2 linked regions of the Danio rerio genome follow. The protein of the gene in region 1 purifies or fractionates together with the protein of each later gene. This does not show direct contact. Links are inferred from orthologs where the notes say so. Each region holds a gene or a part of one and is shown on either strand. Other genes may lie near its edges. The genes, in order: nap1l1 and h2ax.

Evidence for each region.
Region 2: the proteins of nap1l1 (region 1) and h2ax purify together in Homo sapiens (affinity purification with mass spectrometry; 3 studies listed by BioGRID and IntAct, counting the BioPlex papers as one, with this or other methods). This does not show direct contact. The link is inferred for Danio rerio from reciprocal best matches to the Homo sapiens genes NAP1L1 and H2AX.

Annotation. Positions count from the first base shown.
Region 1 is NC_133179.1:2,689,853-2,693,687, forward strand, and holds part of nap1l1 (nucleosome assembly protein 1-like 1), read right to left. Parts: coding exon 3,800-3,835; intron 3,424-3,799; coding exon 3,278-3,423; intron 2,488-3,277; coding exon 2,468-2,487; intron 2,223-2,467; coding exon 2,100-2,222; intron 1,708-2,099; coding exon 1,675-1,707; intron 707-1,674; coding exon 656-706; intron 1-655. UniProt on the Homo sapiens protein: Histone chaperone that plays a role in the nuclear import of H2A-H2B and nucleosome assembly.
Region 2 is NC_133180.1:31,151,509-31,154,460, reverse strand, and holds h2ax (histone H2AX), read left to right. Parts: upstream 1-1,795; 5' UTR 1,796-1,838; coding exon 1,839-2,267; 3' UTR 2,268-2,412; downstream 2,413-2,952. UniProt on the Homo sapiens protein: Variant histone H2A which replaces conventional H2A in a subset of nucleosomes. Nucleosomes wrap and compact DNA into chromatin, limiting DNA accessibility to the cellular machineries which require DNA as a template.

The sequences.
Region 1 (3,835 bases):
CAGAGGAGTTTTAGAGGCGAGAACCCAAAATAAGCACAGAAGTGCATTGTGGTATTTATAAAGCAGGGTTAAAGGTCAGAGCGCTCCTGCACTAACAGATGTTCGCTCCGCAAACACTGCGCTCATTCATCCACTGACTGCAGCAGAGATAGATAATCTTCCACTAATGCGTGTACCAGAGATGGCAGTGCATCCACCTTTGCCCTGCAGCACATGATGTTTTACATCAATTATGGGAGGAATATCCATTAAACTAAACATTCAGCGTCTTAAATGAAGTACTAGCCTGTTTTTGGTGCAATTTGGTGCTGAGATGAACCACTGCCAATACAACACAGAATATTACTATTAAGAGACAGATAGTGTTGTATTCTTATTTTAAAAGTGATCAATAACAGCATTATGCATATTCAATCATTATTATAAACTGTACTGAATATCAGCATGTCTAAAAAAAAAAAAAAGGTGGATACACCAGGAAAGACGGCCATCTGGGCTGTGTATATGTGCGCTTAACTATTTGCACAGCGGTTTACACACTATTGTTGAGAGATGAGTGTGTCTGGATGAGTGGAGGTGACCGTTTGAGTTCTGTATGTTGAGATCTCAGTATCAGACACTTATGAGCAGCTCTAACGGACGTCTGGACTCTTACCTTGGGCTCATAGTCTGGATCGTTCTCCTCATCTGCCTCTTCTTCGCCCTCCTGCAAAACAAACACACATCAGTTGGTTTCATTAAAGGGCTTATGATTTATTAGGCATGCTAGGTTAAATAGGCAAGTCACTGGGAGAACAGTGGTTTGTTCTGCAGCCAATCAAAAAGAAAGACTAATATAAGATTGACCACATAATTTAACGTTATATAGTAGTCACCATTTAGAAGTGGATCATGAGATTTAATCAAAGATGTCCTAAAACATTTGTCAAGCCAGAAATGATCCATACGCTGGCTAATTCTGACTTAGTTTTTGTTTAAATGTAGAGAAAAGCAGAGAAATTGTTTTTCTAGGCACTATGAAGCCTATTGGACATCTCTTTATGATCTTTTTGAAGGAGCCAACGCCATTTCCCACCGTCAAACTTGCGAACAGTACAAATAATTTCAGGCTTGACACTATAATTCATGATTATAGGAATTACTCCAGAAGAAAAAAAAAATTAACAGGGAGATTTAAAGGCAATGTTGGACGTGTGTTAAAAAGGATTCATTTTTATTGCAAGTTTAACTTATTATTAATAGTAAAAAAATTGTAATAAAAAAAAAAAACACAGGATTAAAGAAATGGCATATGTCAATGGAGAAGATCACATACATTGTCAAAAAGAAACAAAGTGTGTTTGAAGATATCTGGAGACCTTTTAATAACTTTCTAAAGTACAATGTAAATGTTGACAGTCTACTACAACTAGAACAAGCTTAGGAATATGGGAAGTATCATGGATTAAACACTCAGTAAACACTCTCTACCTGATTTAAACATCCCCTTTTTTATCATATTTATTTGTTGATTTATTTATATTTTATTTATTTATTTAGTTTTTTTTTTTTTTTTTAAGGGAATGGGTTGTTGGGAGGGAGAATGGGGTAAAAAGTTTGCTGTGCCTTCATGATTATTGTTCTGTAATTGTGTAATCGGTTATGATATGCAAATAGAAAAAAATAAACACCAACCTCATCATCCGCTTCCTCTCCCTCCTCATCATACTGAAAAAGAAAAACAGTGTTCAGATTGAGGAATATTGGGCAACTTTTGGTCATTTGGTTTCTTATTTTTTTTCCATTTAACACCATGCCTACTCCTATGGCCATTTTCATGGAGAGAAAAAGTATATTCTATATACATCTAGATTACATTAAGGCTTTACCACTTTAAAAACTAACACTGTGTTTAGGTTAATCAATATAAACAAAGGGAATACAACTTCACAATTCAATAAGAATTTTTACATGAATACTAGATGATTAACAAATAAGGTAAATTCTTTCCACGTCTGCTATTAAAGTACAAAAATGTACGTCAAAGTGCTCTCAGTATAAACACTGACTAGTCGTCTAGTTAGAGGAATGAACAGTTTTATGTGGTCTTGTTCACTCACGTCATCATCGTCATCTTCGATGGCCTCTCCAGTGAAATACAGCACAGCTCTGGGAACGATACGCTCACGGATGAAGTGACCGATCTCGAAATCTGCTGCTAAAACTGCCTCTGAGTCTTCATCCTGAAACAGCATCAACAAACTTTCACTCCTAATATTACTGTGTGACACTCATTTAATACCATTATATACACCAGCATATCTCGATTTCTGCAAGCTGATGTCACAAAACAAGCAATCAAAGAAATTAATTATACAAGTTCATTTTACGGTCAATTTCACACTAAATTAAGCCCCAAGTCAAAATTAAACAGTTTGTTTTATTGCGCATTTGGATATTAAGTTTAGAAGTAGGAAGATCCACTCACCAGCTCACCGCTTTCTGGAACTGCAAAAAAATTAAATAAATACAGTCAAGTAAGGAAAAACACTCATACGAAAGATTAGCTCTACATTAGTGGAAACATGATTTTTTCATTAGTATTTGCACTGGCTTTAACAACATTCATCCTGAATTACTGACATCCTTATTTTTTATACTTGGAAGCAACTTAAACTTTCAGATTATCTGCAATTTATAAAATCAACTAAATCTACTCATTTTAAAAGCATAAATTAATTAGTGCTGGGGAAAGATTACAACTAATTACACCAAAAAAATTGTGGTTATATATCCATCATGCATGGATTTCTATAAAAATACGTACATTTAATATTACTAAATATAAACAAACATTCATTTAAATATATGCATGCATGTGCATTTAGATATACAGTACACGTACGGTCAAAAAAAAACTTTAGTTTTGGGTGCAATTAATATTTGCCCAGCACTAAAATCAACAACAGCTGTAATAAACAGCACTTATTTACTGCTCTTCTCTAGAGTGTATATTGATTTTATATTACTTTTACATGCATGACACCACACCTCCACAAAATATATATGGTACTATTAGTAAAACATGGCACAGTAATACGAGAACTCACTGTTTTGTGTTAAGTGTAGTGCAAAAAAAAAAATAAGTCTTGAAAGTGCCTACAGCCATTGACATGTATTCTATAAACCAGCTAAAGTCAACAAAAACTAACATCTAATGCTTCACAGATCAAAATCCTCTTGAATCGAGGGTGAGGTAAACGGGTTGTAAATTTTCAACGCATGTAAAATGATGTACCTTCAGGCGGAGAGAAGAAGTTGAAGAATGAATCGTTGGGAACCGTCTTGGTGACCGTCCTCACTGTGCCACGACCCTTGTGCTTCTGTTTCTTCTTGATGGTTTTCAATGTGACGTTCTTGCCTTTAGTCCAGTCGATCGTGCAGCTGAAACCCAAAATCACTCAACTCAGACTCTATACTGAAGAGCTCAGTGAAAACTACTGCCGAGCACTATCTAAATTATTAATATTGAAAATGTGCATGTCGGGATTTACAACCGAGGGCAGAATCACTAGCCCACGGCCCATGAAATTATTATTTATTGAACATTTCAGATTTAGAACTATATACACAAAGCTCTAGATCAAACCAACAGAAGAGTAAATAAAAACCTTAATGGTGCTCAAAATTAGCATTGAAGCATGTCTGATACTCAAAGATCCAATTCCTGTTGCCATTTGTTATTAATGCATGAACAAATTGTTATTATCTCCAAAGCATCCTAGCACTAAAACAGGGAAAGAGCAGAATTCATCTGTACCCCGTGCAGCCCATGATCTCCGGCCCGTCGAAAGAG
Region 2 (2,952 bases), on another chromosome or scaffold:
TAGACATATCGCACTAAATGACGTCTGTCTGTGTGTTTTGGTTGTAAAACACGAGCCCTTCGTTTGACAAAAGGGACACACTACAGGTCAAAAAAACGCATTTGTGCATATTTATAAATTATTCCAGGAATTATTGTAAATCTACAACCTCGTGAGATGCATCAGGCTGGATCTGCAGTGGGAAAGTGCTATTTTCAGGGTCCACGTGAAACCTCAGGGGCTAATATAAAAGGTATAATAAGTTTCATCGCTTTATTTTTTTCAGAGATGGCTTTTTAAACCGAACAGGCGCTGCCCCAGTAACACACAACCGCGTTTATTTAAAGTGAGCTGCAATAAAGGTCTTTTGCACGTCAAATACATAAAGTAGATTTTATTAGTGGTAGCTTTTTATTGTAATACTAAGCAGGAGGCTTTGTTGTTTTCTGGTAATGTAAGGTCAAATATAGGAGTAGTTCATACTCAAACCTCCTACTCAACGTGGTCACCATTCATTTTCATTTGATGGATATAAAGATGCTGTGGTAACTGAAGCTGGTTATCTGCATTAAACTCTTCATGTTGCACGAAACAGGATTGAAACCCCCAATCAAATATCATTTTGATGAACTGTCCCTTTAAAGAATCTCTCGCAGTATCTTCCCTTTTTAAGATGTCTAATAGACGTCTAAACAGTCCTCATGGCTAAATAAAGGGCTGTCAGTGAAACTCCAGTAGACGTCTAAAATAGGCCAAAACTAGACTAGTCATCAAATAAACAGAAATTAATGACTACATATATAAAGTCTGTCTATCTGACGACTAGTGTAGTTTTGACTAATCCAAGCTGTTTATGTTTAGATGTCTATTAGACGCCTATTAAACTAAAAAATAGTCTGCTGGGGTTCCCCACCCATACGACTCAATGCAATTCTCAGACTTTTGTTTTTCATTCCAAATAACCTGAACTTATAATAAAGGCAAGGGTGTTCTAACCAAAATAATAGCTACAGGAAAGCATTTTAGCAATTATACAGTGAATTGCAGGTCACGAGTCAATGGCTCAGCGCTTTATAGTCATTTTGGAGCATAAAGCCTGAAAAATGTATGAGCAAAATGTTGTGATGACAGCGAACAATCTGAAGTGAAGGTGCTGCTGCTGGGCCTTCTGAGGTATTCGGAGCTTTATATTGTTGTTCATTTGATGTTTAATTTATTCTGAATAAATTATTTTTGAAAAACCATTCCTCCTTTCTTATTTCCCATTATTAATCAGCTAAAAGTGAATTTATCTAAAATGCACACTGAATCACTTTAGTGTCACATCACGACAAAGTGATTTAATTCATTGTGCATTTTAAAGAAATCGCATACAAATCACATTTTAAAGACATTTACATTGAGTGAATTAAATCTATAAAATATTACGTCACAATAAGTGTACATGAGAGGGTTAAACAAATGAAAAAATTGGTTTTGCGTCAAACTGTGTTAAAATTCAGAGGGAATATGTTCAATTGGTTTGAACTTACCGCCGAAATGTGATTGAGGTAAAGAAAGACCAATACTAGCGCAGACGAACCAAGCGAATCAATCAGCTCTCGCATATTCAGATACACTCTGATTGGTTCGTTACTTTGCGCTGTTTATGCACTGCAAGTTCAAGCCAATGGGGGATTACATCCGCTCTGGTTTCACCACCGACAACCAATCAGGTCTGTACTTCCCTTCGCGCAACCAATCAAATGTGTGGGCGGGACTATGCTTTGAACGTTCAACCAGTCTTTAAATACTGCAGCAGTTTCACTGCCAATGTACTGATTTCTTGCACACGCGAAGAGTTAAGTAAGCCATTCAACATGTCTGGAAGAGGTAAAACCGGAGGAAAAGCCCGCGCTAAGGCTAAGACTCGCAGCTCCCGCGCCGGTCTTCAGTTCCCCGTCGGCCGTGTTCACCGTCTCCTTCGTAAAGGCAACTATGCTGAGCGAGTGGGCGCCGGTGCCCCCGTGTATCTGGCCGCCGTGCTCGAGTACCTGACTGCTGAGATCCTCGAGTTGGCGGGAAACGCCGCAAGAGACAACAAGAAGACTCGTATCATCCCTCGCCATCTCCAGTTGGCCGTCCGTAACGACGAGGAGCTGAACAAACTGCTCGGCGGAGTGACCATCGCACAGGGCGGTGTTCTGCCCAACATCCAGGCCGTGCTCCTGCCCAAGAAGACTGGCCAGGCTGCAGCCAGCTCCGGCAAATCTGGAAAGAAGGGATCTTCCCAGTCACAAGAGTATTAAATGTTGAACTGAGCTAATTCATCCAAAGGCCCTTTTAAGGGCCACCCAACTCTTCTGAAAAGAGCAATTTCCATGTGTCTGAATGTGATATAGCTTGTATTTTTGAGATGCATGCTTTGCTTATTAAATTGTCATTTTTTAATAATGTTAATGTTGGTGTTTTTTGAACCGATTTAGGCTAACTGTTATCACAATTTAAGAATTTACGTTACTTCAGTGTTTATTTCTTAACGGTACATTTTTTTTTTCTCATAATTAATTTATACGAGTTAATTTGGAAAACGGAAACTAGGTTTTCATAAACACAAGGTAAGGCAAAGTAATTCTCTGGTCTTTTTCATAATGTAAAAAGTCTTTATGTATGAGTGAACGATAGTGTGAGTCTTGTTTTCCAGTGTCAGCAAAAAACCAAAGAACTCATCAGGGGGTTGTTGATATACTTTATTATTTATAACACATTTTTTAATTCATTCTCATGTTGATTTGACAACACAATGTTGCTGGCCAAGTAATTGCTATAGTATAGCTGGTCAATTTCACATTTGGAAGGCACTTTACAACTTGCTACATAAATATAAAATATTAACACGAACTTAGACAGCTAATTTTGCCAGTAAAAATCTTACATGGTGCTAAAACACCCATAAAATCTTAGCACCTCAGTACTTTGATTATTACATGAATA